Caenorhabditis elegans: one gene and its partners. The protein of the gene in region 1 purifies or fractionates together with the protein of each later gene. This does not show direct contact. Each region holds a gene or a part of one and is shown on either strand. Other genes may lie near its edges.

Region 1 (6,916 bases):
CTACATTTGGATTCTCGATTTTCTCATTTTTAGCTTCATCTTCATTTCAAATAATTTGATTGCTAGGAAATGTGCTTTCAATTACAAGAATATTTAACTCCTGGCGTTGTTCTTAAATTCCGACCATATCGGTAAGTCTGTCTAATATGGACGCCAGTTTTTTGCCCAAACTTGGCTCAAATCTTCGATCAAAAAAATTTTCGTTACAGAAATGTATTCATTGGAATATCCAGCGTTGCAATTTTTTTCGCAATCTTAATAATCGTCGAGAATATTATATTTCTGTCCATCGTCAGTAAACAGTACGTTTCACACTGTCTTCAAAATCATAAACCCCTCCTTATTTACAGAAGTATCCCACTTCTTCTCATCCCGTATATTCTCTCTTGGGTGCTGTTCTTTCTTGGATTTTGCTTTGCTCGATTCGCATATCTAATTCATTCGGGTCGTAAAAGCTGTGCATCAGTGATTCCTCTATCCTCTCCGATTGCTTGGGAGGATAGTCGACCTGTGTCACCTGTGCCGGTTAGTTGATTTTACACTTTATACTTTTGAAATTTTATTTAAATTTGAAAGCTGGAAACCAAACAAGTATTAAATATTGAAAACAAATGCGAGTTTTACCCGTTTTGATGCATCATGTCAATTTGAGATCTAGAAACAGTTAAATTTGAAATTATAGCCTTGGTAAACTTGTTGAGATCGCCCTGTTGACGTAGACTTGTATGAGATTGGTCTGGAAAGTGTGATGCTATCATGAAACGCAATCAAATATGAAGCCTTACCATTGCTTTTGGCAGCTTGGTGAAATGTGGTGTCATCCTTTGCTCGCCAACTCGATTTACCATGGCGACAAGACAATAGACGACGGTCTTCCTAACAGTTGATGACGTAGATTGATACGCCTGAAAATGTTATGAGTTCCAATTGAGTTTGCTAAAGTTTTCGTGACTCACTTTAATAATCGTTGGAGTGATATCATCTACAATATTATTCAACTCCTCTGCTGGAAGTTCCTCAAATAATCGTGTTACCATTTTAAGAACTAGAGAAGCTCTTTCATCGTCGATAGGTTCTTGATTTAGAATAACTTTTGCAATATTAATAATATTTGAAAGTGGTAGATGAGTTGCCAATGTTCTCAAACAATCTTCCACAGCAAGAGCCGTTGTTGCGTCGTTCGTATTTACAGCTGCATCCAGAACTTTGCACACTGCCATTTCAGTCGAATCAAACAGTTTTGCAGCTTGCGCGGTGCACATCTTCCCGAGAATTCGTAGGCACATTTTCTTATTATTTTCTGATCGACTTTTTGAAAGAATTTCGAATAAGTTGAGAAGAAGTTTTGCATAACACTGCTCCCACACACCGAAACCTCCATCGCAGATCATCATGTAAATAGAGCTTATTGCACTTTCTTGCTCATCCGCGTTTTCAGAGCTTCTCATCTTTTGTAGGAGGTCTTGAACGTTCTGGATTTTTTCCAGTGTATCAGGTGGGAGTGTGACAGTGGAGTTTAGCTGGAAATGTTGAATATTAAACTAGGAAAAAGAAAATTAAAAAAATGTTATTTCAATCATTTTAATTGAAATTTAGTGACGTAACATATGCAAATATTTGTTTTATCTCAAAATAATTGTTATTTTAGTTAGAACATTTGGACAAATGTTCAAAAATTTCCTAAAGGTTGAAAATTGCCGAAATAAAATCCAACAAGTCTTCAAAATGTTTTAATGGAAACTTTAAACTTTCCGACAACTTTTTCAGTGTTTTTTCAGACTGAAATAAAAATTATTTACAGATAAATCAAATATTTTACTATATTCTCTCTTTAAATTTTAGTAAAAAATTTTGCTATTTAATACGAAATAAAATGTTTTTAATGTTTTTTTTTCTATTTACTCAACGAAACTGGAAAATTAAATTCTAAAAATTGAATAAATCTATAATTATTGAGAGAATAAAAACACTCACATTAACTTTCTCCATGAGCCTTGACGTTGATTGCTCTTCTAGCCTACTCAATGCCAGATTGTTAGAGATATTGAGCGAGCCGAGATTGACGCCAGTTCCGCCTTTTCGTGCTCCAAACTCGGGTAGACCGAATGATGTTGACTCTTTTTGGAAAGAAGTGTTGCTTGTTTCACGAGAAGCCGTTGCTCCAGAGTTGGTTGCGATGTTGTTGCTACTGCAAAAAAGTGATGAGCCATGTCTATGGGGAGTTTGAAGTCATTTCTCATTTCTCATAACGAATGCATGACCATACTGAACAAACCTTATTCCATTTTCGAGTCCATTTCTCTGAAGTGTTTGGTGTATCCAGTTCTTCTGCTCACTGTCAAGATCGCTAATTAGTGCAGAGAAATCAGCGACATTAACACAAAACATGGAGCAAATCGCTTTCTCAACATGTGGTGTTAGTAGAATTGACAGTCTAGGATCAGAGGCCCATGTGAGCATTTTTCGGATTGCGGTCTTCAATTCTTTAGCATTAATGGATGCTCCAGGTTCCGTATACTCATCTAGCAGACTTGTCAAATACTCCAGCAGTACAACACGAGCCTGAAATTTTTTTTGAAAATTATTTAACAATTCTTAAAAATGATGTATTTTTAAAAATCTAATGGGAAAATACCAACCTTTGGAACCATCAAATGTATCGGATCGCACATTAGCTCGCAGACTGTGACAAGTTGGTGATGAGCATTGAAGCATTCAAGGATGACGTTCAAAGTATGACCAATTTGTTTTTTAGTGTTGGGCAGAGTTTCAGCGGCTTTCCGAGCAAACAATTTTGCAAGAGCTAATCGAAGCCATTCGGATAATCGACTACTATGGGTTCGAACGAATATAGAGTAGATCTCAAGAACCATCTAAATTTGAGTTATTTTTTAAATAATCAAAGCACTCTTCTGAATCAGCTTACGGTATTTGAAGCATCCGAAAGCAACCGATTTAGACAATTTCCAATGTTTTTGATCTCAATTGGGTTTAGACTAGTGTCACTGAAATTTTAAATTTTTTGAGGTCAAAACATTTTGAACTTTAAAAAACTCACGCTACAATAGGCAACAGTTTCTTGATTCCTTCCTTTTTCTCCGAAACTGAAGAAGAGCAACATTCTTTCAAAACTTGGGAAACCTTGTCGTGTGCTTCTATTGTCGGTGTTTTCAAGGGAGATCTTATTCGAATCGGTAGTAAAAACTCATCATCGTCGGTAGTATCCGGCATTCCAAGTTTTGCAAAGAAAGACCCGTTTCCATATTTGACTCTAGCTTTCTGTGTTTCTGGTGGTAATGGAGAATTCCTTCTGGTTGGAGATGTGTCACGAGAGTCGGTGGAAGTAATTGAAGATGTTCTTGTTCTAGATCCGGGCCGGTTTGGATATGGAATTTTGGCGGAAAGCAAGAGAGTTTTGAAAAACATAGATATAAAATTAGAATACTTACATCCAGCTGGTGAAGTATCTTGCCTTGCCATTGTTTTTGTAGAAGTCGGACGAACCAGTCGACTAGGTCCAGCAAACTTTGTAGCTTTTGGATCAATTGCAGACGCACTTCTTTGCGCGAGAAATTCTGTTTCAAAGTAACTTTGAACATCCAGTTTGAAATCAAAAACTTACTCGCACTGATATTCATATGAGCTTTCGATCCAGCTGATAATTTCGAACGAATTGGTATTGAGCCCTTTTCACTATTCACACTTGCCCATGAAGACGCTGCATCTCCCCCTCTAAGCATTTTCTGTTTGGAATGATCGAGTTCTAGATACAAAGCATCAGCTTCTTCGGAATGCATTTCGTCAAGTTTTGCAAATGCTCTTCTACCAGCTGCTCTTGTCTCCGAGTCAGCATCATTGATTGCTGATTTTATGAGCTCGCAGATTTGACGCATTATTTGCTGAAAAAATACAATATTTCAATTAGTTATTATCAATTAGTAAACTACCTTTTTGATTCTATCACTCCATTTACTGATAACAATTTCTAGAAGAGCAGCCAGCTGTCTTCTTTGAGATTTGTCCTTGGATGTTGAGAACGAAGAGAGAATTGTGAACACTTGACGGGTTTGTACATACTGAAATTTTAGGGAAATCTTATAAGTTTGTGGATTCAAAAAACGTACTTCTACAATAAATTCTGTCAATGTGCTCGCTGAAGTGGCCATAATCTTCGTGCTAACAGCAACTTGTGACATTGCTGGAACGAGAATATCCTCTCCAATTGAATGAGTCTCGATTCCATATTTACTAACAATGAAACTGCATGTTATTGCGGCTTCTCGTAAAACTTGTGATCGAAGATCCTTCACTGCCAACTCGAAACAACCAAGAAGTTGAACAAGATGAGCAATCATTGTTGGTCGATCGACAACTTTCTCCCCATGAATCACTAGACTTCGGACAGTTTTTAATTGAGTTTGTCGTTTATTCCAGTCTTCGGAACTATTTGATAAAATAATTCGAACTGCATCGAATTTATTACGAAGGTCCACGGCAGAAGTGATGGGCTTAAAAGATTTTTATCTAGTGTTGTATTGATTGGAACATATTTGCAATCGCCAAAAAGGGAAATGTTTGAAACTACTTATATGGTGCGAAAATGACAAAATATCATAGAAACCGTTTAAAAATTACTTGAAATTTGTTATTTTACAGTCAAAAAATGGTACTTACTTTAATTTTCACCTATCATAAATTTGGATGTCGATCGAAAAAATAAATTTTAACTACGAGTTTGACATTTTTTTTCTTTTAATTGGGTTTGAGTTTGACTTAAATATTTCTATTTGAACATTAAATGGGTTCTAATCAGCAGCAGTGCTCGAAATTACCCAAAAAGTCCATACTTTTCGTAAATTGGCATTTTACCAAATTTTTGAAATTCTGAATTTTTTCAAATATTTTGAAAAATGTTCAAAAATTTTTGGAGTGTTTTTTATATTTGGGCATGTTGAACTATTATAAGTACCTATTAATACTCACCACTTTTGGGACATCTTCGAAAATCTTTGTGAAATCCGCTTTGCTAACCGAGTAAACTCCGCTTTTTGGTTGCATTCGGCTAGTCATCCCATAAAAAATGTAAAATGGTTTGAGAAAATCTGAAAAAAAGATTAAAGCTGTTAAAAACCAGAAACTTTTCTGACGTCGAAATTCAAAATTAGCGGACAATGTTCGATAATTCGAGAGGACTCCATGGCTGAGAGGTGTCGTTTTTCCCGGCCACAAATTTTGGCGGGAAATTCAAATTTGAATAACGGAGAATAGATGGAAAAGATAAACTAGGAAAATACAAAGGGCAAAAAAGTCGACGCACAAAAAGTTGTAGAAAGTGGTTAGTGGTGTGAGTGCGGGGAGACAACACCCAGAGCAGCTGTGTCCGAATGGGGCAAAAACGAAGAAGAAGAGATGCAAGAGATACCATAGAGAGGACATCGTTGGATGGACGGCAGACGCGTCATGTCATTCCGCTCCAATTTAACACATGTTGGTTTTGAAGGCAGATGTGAGTGTGCGCACAGGAGGAGAGACTATGCCAAAAAATGTTTCAATTCTCATGAAACAACCAGTCTAAATGTGAAGCGATTTGAAATATTACGAGAAATTTGATATCTCGATGGAGTGGTCTATTATAACGAAAAAAACCACAAATTATACGTCGCTTTTCCGTTTTTTTCTTTTAGTGAGCAGGCATTTATGCATGTGAAATAAGTATAAACATGCTCTCAAAAAGACGGGAAAAATAAGAAGAAGAAAATGGAGAAAAAAGAAAAGGCGCCGGCGTCTTCTTTCTCCCATCTTCTTCGGTCCTTCCATTTCTGTTGTCTTGCTCCGCGAGCAGCCAATTGATTGTAGTTTCGCGCCCAAAAGGGTAAATGGAATTTCAAATTGGAAATGGAGAAAGAGCATCTAGAATTGAAGAATTGAACAACAATTGAAGCTAAAGACTTGCAGAGAGAAATAACTACTGCAAAAAAGTCTAGTGAGCAAATAAAAGGACAAAAGAAGAGTGTTTGGATAACTAACAGAATATGACTCTTTAAATATATGCTATTTTCGTGTATTTACAGGAATCGATAGGTGCGCCTAAAAGGGTCGATGCACTGAAATTACAAAAATATTATAGCTACATATTTCTACGTTCATAAAACGTTCCAGAAAACACATTGAATATACAGTTTTTGTTCACAACAGTCAACTTGAAAGAAAATATAAAATAAAGAAGAAACAATAAATTAAAATCTCAGCCAGTCATCGCCTTCCGCTGTCCGTAAAGAAAGAACAAAAGAAAATAGAATAAAGTGAGGGAAAATCGAAAATTTATGGAAATTATGGGAATTGAAATGACATGTTGGTTTAGATTATATTGAATAGGCTAATGCATTTTGTATGAATAGGGTCAATTATAGTAATTTCCACATTTTTCCAGCCTTCTCCGATTGTTGATGTTACAATGGTAATTCCACCAATGATTTATCGAAATTCACTTACTGTACCAACAAGCCCGTTCTTTATCACTGATAATGGAATCAGGTATGTTCTTTTAATGTGTTTTTATATATCTCAAACTCAATCCCTAAATCCACCTAACTTGAAAAAGTTTCAAATATTTTTGAAACATATACTCATTTAGCAAATTTCAGCACGTATCGTGACGAGCCACCATCATACAATGAAATTGTGGAGCGTGGTGTATCTCCGATTCCAGCACAACCAGCCAAAGTTGCACTTCCAGACGTATAAAATCCTGTTAACTCGCATATATTTTATTCTGAATCTCTCTCTCACCGAATAATTTAAATTTTAACATTTTGTATCAAATTTGTATTCTTTTAAATATCTTGAGATTATTGTATCTTTTATGTGTCTTCTAAACTTCCTTCTGATAAATTACGATGCAACAATCTCCGAAAAT
Region 2 (5,589 bases), on another chromosome or scaffold:
TCAGAAATGGTCATTCTTCTGACAATTGGCAACCGACTTGTCTCCGAGAGAACTGCAAATCACTCAGCAATCTGGACACATCAAATTGCTGAACAATTCCGGGAGACGTATTGTGTTTGGAGTGAGCACGGCGCTTAAAAAAGCAACAAGTACTCCGACAGGAGTTCTGGATCCAAATGAAGCGGCTCTTTTCACAGTGAAGTGTGATGGAAAGGATGTAAGTGGGGAAAGGCATGAGCGCAAGGGTGGTTGAGTTTTCGGCAATTAGAAGATTTGCCAAAAAAGGAGAATTGTAGTATAAAACTTTAACTTTCTATACATTTCGGAGCGTAGAAATGTATTCCGTTGAAAAATTTTAATTTTTCAAATTAAAACTGCCCAAAACTCAAAAAAGAAAATTGTCGAAATTGCCGAAAATTCAAAACCCGGCAATATGGGCCTACGTGGAAATATCTCCCACTTTTTATCGATCAAGAAGGAAGTTGATGTTTTAAATTTTAAATTTCAAAATTTATTTTAAAATCGTTGTGAAACGTATGACTATGCAAGCTTACCCGATTGATAAAAAGTTGGAAGCAATTACACGTAGCCGCAATGTTTCATTTATTAAAATTTTCAAAATTTTCAGCAAAACGACCGTATCACTATCATCTACACAAATCCTCCAGATGGAACCGACAAGCAGTATCGATCCGAATACTTTCTCCGTGAAGACGCTCTGATCGTCAGAAAGAATCTCTCGACACGCTTTGAGAAGATTACAGCTGTACTTGCAAAATTCGAAAAGGCTAATTAGTTTGTAAATGATATTTTTGCTTAAAAATAAAGTCTGTGTCTTGATTCCGAAACAAAAATGAAAAGAATGACAATGTTTGCAATTCTTTTGGAATTTTTTCGTCAGCGGATTGTGCAGCAGCACGTGGTGATCGTGAGAATGCTTGATCACTTTTAGCTGTGGTCAAGAATGTGTAAACTGGGAACATCGAACACATACTAGAATTTAGTCGACTATGAAATCAAGAGAATATATTTAGATTTTTTTCAAAGATTAAAAAAGGTTTAAAAAAACTTTTTTTTTTCAAGATTTTATGAATCACTTTTCAATCATACTCGGAAGTTAGTCATGTTTTTGTCCCGTTGCGTTTTTGAAAAACTGGAATCTGGAAAACTTAGATTATTGGAGGAAAAGTTACACAAGAGGGTATTTTTTCGAATAATCAAAATATGACAATATATAATAAAAGTTGAAATTTTTGGAAATTTTTGGAAATGTCAAAGTTTCGGTTAATTTGAACAAACATTATGTTTAGAAGTTAAAACATTTTTTTTTTAATTTCAAAAACAAACATGAAAAAAGGTTGAATTCCGGCATTAATGAATTCTCTAGTTTTTGGCATTTTTGCATTTTACCTTATATTAATTGGTTTTTGTTTATGTTATCTTTGATTTTTGATTTGAAAAACATAAATTGACAAGGTTTTATAATTTTTTCCGCAAAAAAAGATCAAATTAATAAATAAATTAACATAGTCAGAAAATGCAATAATTTTAAAACCCCTAGGTTATTCATTTGCACGAGAGTTCTAAATTGATTCAGTCTTTTTATTTATCGCAAAATTGAAAATAAAATTAGAAAAATGCTATACATTAGGGTGATACGGTTAGATTTGGTACAATGATTCTGTCATTTAGGGCAAAAAATCCATAGGTGCTACTCCACCTTCATATTCCCAAAATTCAATAATTATTCAACCTTTTCCAAATATCTCTACCTCGATCATGTAATAAGATAAATCGTAATGATTACGCAAATCCAAATACAAACATTAAAGGAGACGCACGCATATTCTGTCATTCATTAGATAATTTGGAGAGAGGCGAAAAGATATTTGAACAAATAATAAATGAATGTGTCAAAAGTTGAACGGGCACATTTTGATATTCAACGTTTTCCAAATCAGTGAATTATGAGCTTTATCAGTGCGACTAAATTCGTAATATTTTTTGCTGCTTCAATAAATGCACAAAAAGTTGAACAAGATCATTCGGTTCGTTTTTTTAAAATTTTATTGTGTTCACAGGAAATTTTCAGGTAGTAAATAGAGTTTCAAATATTGCGGAAAAATACAGTAATTGGGCTCTAGGAAAATCAGATTATCGAAATGGAAATTTGAATAATTTTCAAGTCACTCAAGTTCAAAGTCCTCCAAGAAACTACAATACAGGTGAGGGTTTCAGATAACTTTTGTAACTATTTTAAAACTCACTAGTTTGTAGTCAAATCTAGTAGCTTGCCTTTTTTTAACTTTTTAGAGATTGAATAGTGTTTTTAACTCAACACTTTTGCTTTTGAAGTTTAGTTATAAACTAGGCAAGACCTAGTTTAAGCTTTGCCCAAATTTAAATGTTGAACAAACTTCTCTCGTGTGGTTTTAAACTTGCCAAAATATTGCTCAACTCTTTCTTACCTGTTGCCTAAGCTTTGCCTAAGTTTGGCCACCTGTTGAACTAGCTAATATTTTTTTGACAAAACTTGGCCAAGAATCTAAATATTGGAAAATACCTAGCAGTTGTAGGAGATTATTTTTAAAAAATTTTCTGATTTATCACATCAGTTTCAAAAACTATACCTATTTTGAATTTCAGCTCCAGTAAAACGATTTTTTCATCAAGTCCGAATCCAGCCGCCTCTTATCATCAAACCTGTAACTTATTCGGAAACATCTTATCAACCAATTGACATCTACTCAACTACACAAACTCCAATCCTGACAACTCCACCATATCCTTCTCGGATTTCTCATTTTCCAACTGAAAATCGTCAAATCTTCCGATCTCCAGTACGACAACATTACCAGCCATCTCCAAATTTTCCAAGACTTTTGGAAACTGAAGTACCAGTTTCTCAGTCATCTCCGATGTTTACTTCAAATTCTTCATTACTCCCACCACATATGTCTCAAAACTTTGGCTCTTCAATATTAACACAACTTCTTAACCCAATTCTACAAGAACCTAATATTCCAACAGCGCCTCCAAATTTACAAATATCACCTCAAATGCACATTAATCCAAATTTCCCGACATTAGTTCCATTACCAATTCCTCAACCGGTAGTTCTTGAACCGACTAAAGAAGAAGTGATGAAAATTGCATCGAAGAAGAATCTATACGGAATGCCAAGATTTCCAATCGAACCTCACCGTGGATTTTTTCAGGTTTGATATATATTTATTAAAACTTCAAACATCTAAAACCGTTAGGCATCAATGAGCTGCATGGATGGCTGGTGTGGAAATGAATGCTGTGAACCGAGGAGACCATTTGCAGCACCTACCACTACGATCCAAGCAAGCGTGCTACCAGGTACAGTAGAAGGGGTAAAAAAATAATAAATTTTTTTTTTCAGGCTCACCAAGCCCACCGCATCCCCTGGTTTTAGTTGTACATCCCGCACCACAGGCACAATGCTCTCCGGCCTGCCAACCTCATTGTAGTCAGCAATGTGTTGCTAGACTTCAATATATGCATGAGTCACAGTTCTACAACCACATTTTGGAGCCAAGTTGCCGTCCAGATTGGTATGATTTTTTATGTAACTGAAAATTTCTTCCATATAGGCGCCAAAATGCGTGCCTTGCAGATCTTCTGCTAAAACACATATTTAAGAACTTTTTTCATCTCGTTATTTGACTTTCATTAAATTGATTGCTATCAGAAAGTTAGTACTTTAGTAAATTTAGTAAATTTTTAAGTAAATTTATGTCAAATTGAAGGAAAAAGGTCGGCAGGTCTCAGGCAGGTAAATAAAGGCATTTAGCTCAGCCAACCTCCTAAATTCGTACAATCCCATAAAATTTTTTTCGAATTTTCAAAACGTCTAAATATAAAATTCGAAAAAAATTTAATTGAATATTTTCATTTAATCAATAATTTATGTTCCAGTATGCCATCCTGCCACGTCGATTGCCTCATAATTCCTCCACAGCAAGTCCGATGCAATAGCTTCAATTGTCAGTGTTTGGCTGGCTACGTGCAATGTGCCGCATTTACTTGTTGCATGAGATACCCGGTGAGAATATCCGTTTGGGAAAATCCAAACAACATGTATTTTCCTTCCAGAATCTGGCTGCAAGAATGAAATCCAACGTGATGGCAAAGTCATCTGAAGAAGAGGTGAGATGGAGGAAAGAGTGTAGTGCCAAAATTGAATATTTTTAGGCAAACGTTAGCGAGGAGGGGAAACAAGATAATGAGATCAGCTATCGAAGAATGTATACGCCTAATAGAATGAGGGCTGGAAAGGGGAAATACGGTTGGGAATATCAAGGGGACATCATCTCGAATCAATTGTTTTCAGACATTGAGAATGTGACATCACCACCAGTTATTAGACCTTCTTATTGGACAAAACATCGAGTGAAGTCAACGAAAGAACCAAAAACTACAATATTCACAACAACTCCAGTGCCATGCCCCACGACCACATCTACGACAACAAGTGCAACTACACTAGTTCCAACCACATCTAGTTCTACAACTACTACAACAACTACTACACCAGTACCCGTTACATCTACAACAACTGAACCTACTACGACAACATATACAACTTCAACTAGTACTAGCACCACAACTACACTTCCACCGACAACATCCACCCCAAAAATTGTGGTTAACCTAACTCCTATCTATCCGGATATGTTAATGAAAGCAAACAAAGTTCCAATGATACCAGCCTACGGAATTTGGACAATTCCGCCCCATGTACCACCCTCTTCAAAAGAATTTGATAACCCATTGAGTGGAATAAAAACCTCGCCAACTGAAAAGCGGAATTCTATTGGTGATATTCGCGGGAGACATGTTATCCGGTCTGAAAACTTTTTGGATGTTCTCAGTGAGCTGGCGCAGGTTTGAAATTCACTTCATGTATCTATCCTACATACAATTTTTAGGTGAAGCTTAAAGAGGATATAACGGATGACTTTTCACATGCAGCAAATTTCATCGATTTTATGACGGACAGATTTAGCAAAATTTAGGAAAATTTTATAGCTGGATATTGAACTATTGGACTGAATTTATGTATTTGTACAAATAAAATATTTCTGAAAATCCGAGAGATTTTATCATGAACATTTTCACATTCTAATGTTCTAGAAAATGGAGTGCGGGATTTTTTTTCACCATTTTTTTGGTTTCTTCACTGATAAAATCAAAAGAATTGTTGTTGTTGTTGTTGTATCTGATCTTAGAAACTTTAAAAAAAAGTATTATTAATTATTTGTTTACAGTTTGGTCATTCAAAAAATGTCATTTTTCAGCTATATAAACATTTTTAAAGCCTTCAGAATTTTAAAAATATAAATCAACAGAGTTTAAACTGATAGAGGTGGAGTAGCGCCAGTGGGGAGAAAACCAAAACGACCGAATCTCATAATAAAACACTCCAAAGTTTTAGATTTTTCATAATTTTCGGCCAAGTTTTGGATGTTTGCCAAAATTTTGAAAAATATGAGCTTTTGATGAGATCCAAAGCACTTTCGCTTATTTCGACCCTTACAATGTTATTTTATAAATAATTAA
Region 3 (3,638 bases), on another chromosome or scaffold:
GGCAATTTTTAATTTCGGAGTAAAATAATTTAGCTGACATTGAGGGCAAAAAGTAATTCCTATTTACGTAAACAGAGATAAAGACTGATAAAGGAAAAATAAAAGAATAAAACATGAGAAAGGGGCCTTCGACCAAACAATAGAAACAATTGAAGACTGAATGACTACATTTTGTGTTTCCAGATTGTTGTGCGCTCTCGGACGCTGGAAAATATTCCAATAATTAGAGACACAATAGGAAATTGAGAGACATTGATGTCTAGAGTAAATATTGATTGGTTTTTTATGGGTGGAGTCTGGAGGGAGTGCATTAACGATGTAGATGGGAAGGAATGTATTTTGATCGATCGGAAAGTTTACGATTCTTTATTTTTGGTACATCTCTATCTCTTCACGATATTCTCCTTTTACAACAGTCTACCATTTGAGACATCGCCTCCTCTTACAGCACCTGTTATAGTGTGACAATATGTAAGAAAGTCCTCTTGTCAATTGACCTAATATTCTAGACATCTAATGATCTCAAGAACATATCGAATGTAGGTTAGCCAATATCTAGTTTATTTAAATTTTAACTCCAGAACAACCAAAAAAGCTATAGAAATCGACATTTGAAGTGTAAAAATGAGGGAAAAATGGTTTAGAATAAAAAAAGAACTGTTTGCGAGACGTTGAAAACTGTGAGCTATTTGAAAATAATAAACAAAAAGCGAGCAAACTGAGCTTTTTGCTTGAGCTTGAGCTAAAAAAAAAGGTCCAGAAAAAACAAACAAACATTTTTTGAGATTTTACGATTCATACGCTAATATGATGATAGATGAGATCTTGAGAATAAATGGAAAGATCTAGTGGTATTTGATTATAATTATAAAGAGAATCTTTAGACAATTTAAAATCTACTCCTCGTCATTTTCTTCCTCATCAGCCTCTTCTTCTTCTTCTTCCGGCTCATTTGGTTGCTCCTCACTCTCGGCAACTTGCTCATCTTGAGCTTCAACTTCAGTGGAACCCTTTTCCTCAACAACGGATCCTCCATTGGCTTTCTTGAGCTCTTCCTCGTCGTACGTGTCGTCTTCAATGAGCTGATGAACTTCTTCAAAGGATGGCTTCACCTTCTTTGGTGGTGGAACTTCGATAACTGAAATTTTATGCTGATATAAAAATATATGTTGTCTGTATTTCTTGATTTTTCATTGAAAATTAGACGATTATAATTATTTTATGAGATATTATAGTAAAAATATATCAACAAAAAATTTTGTCAGAATTTTCTAAAACTCGCCAAACATATTTTTTGAGTAATATTTCAATAAAATAAATTGAAAACTAATTCGAAAACATTGGCGACGTCTTGCAAATAACAGAAGAATGTCGTATATTTTAGTTCAACATAGAAAAATTTCGGTAAAAACTGAAATCACTCAAAAACTAAACGGATGAACTTTTTGAAAATTTACCAAAAATAATTTCCAGTTTGTTCTAATAAATTTAAATGCATTCCGAGTTTGTCTGCAATTTAAATATTCAAACTATACTAACCATCATCGTCGCCTTCTTTCCCCTCAGCCTCTTCAGCGACCCGCTTTCTAGTCTCCATCGACTTTTCGGAGGAACCTTCTGAAAAAAAAATTATCAGGGTTTCAGATAAATTTTCCTCACCCTCACTGAATGGGCACTCGACTTCCGGAGATCTTGGCGGAGAATCTGGAACTTCGACGATCTCGGACATGGCTGGTTTGCAGTTGCTAAAAATGCTTGAAAATTTAGTTTAAAAAAAAATAAATTAAAAGTGAAAAGTAAAAAGCAGAGATTATAAACTCTTTAAATAAGTTTAATTTAGTTTCCCGGGGTTATTTCCCAGTTGTATAACTTTTTATAGCAGGACGAAAAAGCAGGAAATTCAAGTGAAACTAGGATACTATGAAAGGAAAGGTAGCTGGAAACGTACAGTAAAAATGGGGTTTCTATGTGTAATTGAGGATATGGAATCGTTTTGTCACAGATTTCCATATGAAAACCAGAAAATTGGGGATGAGAACACAGGAAGAAGATAAGAAAAAACATGCACAATTGAAATCAAAAGATATAGGAATTTCAATTTTTGAGAGTAGTTTGATTGAGTTTTGGGGTAAAAAACTATTGAACGCGGTTTTTGAGTGACTCGACAAGAACTTTCATTTCTCGATCCACGTCCTCATCATCATCATCAGCTTCTGAAAATTCGTCCACATCATTGCCGTTCTCGTCGCCTGAAACTTGAGAATTAAACTGAGATTTATCATTTCAATTCTCACTCTCTGATTCTTCGTCTGGTTCAAGGAAGTGCAGCTTTTTCGGCTTTTTGAAAGTAGTGTCTGGAAATATAGGGGCTTATACTTTTCTGGCGAGCTTATTTTCTTGGTAGCTAACGCGCTTCTAATCTTTTTTCGCCGTTATTTTTTGAGCGCTAAATGCCTTTTGATAGTTCCAAATTTGATTTCTGTCCTGTTTGAAGATCAAAAGCTTCAAGCTCAAAGCATCAAGGATCCCTTAGAGATCGTATAGTCGTCTGCACGTGATTATACTTATACAAATTTCTGCGACAGAAGGTTGAGAGTGTGCGAGAAAAAGCTTGCGGGGTGCTCTAGAAAGTTGAAAATGTCTGACAGAAACAACGTACCTTCCAAACCAGACAATTGTGTCCTTACATCGGAAACTTCTTCTCTAAGCTTATCAAACCGATCATTCGATTTTTTCAGCATTTCCTTTTTATCAGTTGAACTTGGAATTCGGGGTGAAGGTGGGATCACTCTGTTATACTTTTTAGGACCTTCTGTGAGACGTCTTTCTCTTCTTGGTGCGATTCCTCTTTGCGCGAGTATGAGCTCTGCGATGCTTTGCATTGAGTTGGCTGTCATTTGAGGAGCATTTGGAGCATGAGGTGCTTGCTGTGGAAAGGTTGAAGGCATCGGATGAATCGGGTACGGAAACATGCTTGCGGCACTGTTAGGCGGCTGTTGTAGTTGTGATGAGTGTAGACTGCAAACTGCATTTCCAATGCTTCGAATTTCATTGGCCATATGCTGCATTTGTCCATTTTGCATAGCTTGCTCATGCTGCAGACCTGATATTTGTCTAAGCAAGTCTGATATCGTGTGATTGAAATATTCCACTGGAACATAATGAGGTTGGGCAACACGGTGAGTCATTTGTGGGTGTGGTGGTGCGGTAAACTGTTCCTTTGGTTTTTCAAAATCGATTATCTGCTTGAACAAGTTGTCCTCCATATTACACAATTTTTGGAAAACTTTCAGCTCAATATCATCAAAATCCTCCTGTGCATCTTCATATTCGGAATTCTTTTTGTAAGTCGGGTGGTAATCCGGATGCATTTGATTGCGTAGAGTAGGTTTTCCTTAAAAATATTCATTGCGACTTTTGAAGCCAATTTCTTGCTCAAGATTTATCAGAAAATGTTCAGTTGGTTCAGAAATTGGCTACAAATATAAATATTTAGCAAATTAGTTGCATCGAAATAGTACTAAACGAATATGTTTGAAGCAGATGTTCAGATTTTTAGATTTGAAAATTAATTATTTTTACTCAAATTTTTAATAGTTCTACGGGGCTTCTATGGTAGACTGAAAAACAATTAGCTT

The links. The genes of interacting proteins can lie anywhere in the genome.
Region 2: the proteins of cls-3 (region 1) and T09D3.3 fractionate together in Caenorhabditis elegans (co-fractionation; one large-scale study listed by BioGRID). This does not show direct contact.
Region 3: the proteins of cls-3 (region 1) and C35E7.11 fractionate together in Caenorhabditis elegans (co-fractionation; one large-scale study listed by BioGRID). This does not show direct contact.

The regions. Positions count from the first base shown.
Region 1 is NC_003281.10:9,186,008-9,192,923, forward strand, and holds cls-3 (Protein CLASP-3), read right to left. Parts: upstream 5,103-6,916; 5' UTR 5,071-5,102; coding exon 4,984-5,070; intron 4,509-4,983; coding exon 4,125-4,508; intron 4,077-4,124; coding exon 3,948-4,076; intron 3,900-3,947; coding exon 3,623-3,899; intron 3,576-3,622; coding exon 3,059-3,575; intron 3,006-3,058; coding exon 2,927-3,005; intron 2,874-2,926; coding exon 2,640-2,873; intron 2,563-2,639; coding exon 2,276-2,562; intron 2,189-2,275; coding exon 1,975-2,188; intron 1,521-1,974; coding exon 957-1,520; intron 906-956; coding exon 786-905; intron 737-785; coding exon 677-736; 3' UTR 551-676; downstream 1-550. Other genes in the region: ZC84.7 (uncharacterized protein), read left to right, coding at 70-131, 210-302, 351-525, 6,431-6,534, 6,645-6,744. UniProt on the Caenorhabditis elegans protein: Microtubule plus-end tracking protein that promotes the stabilization of dynamic microtubules.
Region 2 is NC_003283.11:5,345,950-5,351,538, reverse strand, and holds T09D3.3 (EB domain-containing protein), read left to right. Parts: upstream 1-1,967; coding exon 1,968-2,048; intron 2,049-2,092; coding exon 2,093-2,225; intron 2,226-2,646; coding exon 2,647-3,218; intron 3,219-3,263; coding exon 3,264-3,366; intron 3,367-3,409; coding exon 3,410-3,581; intron 3,582-3,945; coding exon 3,946-4,072; intron 4,073-4,122; coding exon 4,123-4,176; intron 4,177-4,221; coding exon 4,222-4,315; intron 4,316-4,360; coding exon 4,361-4,914; intron 4,915-4,958; coding exon 4,959-5,045; downstream 5,046-5,589.
Region 3 is NC_003279.8:10,842,879-10,846,516, reverse strand, and holds C35E7.11 (Glutamic acid-rich protein-like), read right to left. Parts: upstream 1,746-3,638; 5' UTR 1,730-1,745; coding exon 1,660-1,729; intron 1,618-1,659; coding exon 1,540-1,617; intron 1,139-1,539; coding exon 897-1,138; 3' UTR 545-896; downstream 1-544. Other genes in the region: C35E7.2 (Reverse transcriptase domain-containing protein), read right to left, coding at 2,137-2,249, 2,295-2,354, 2,660-3,394.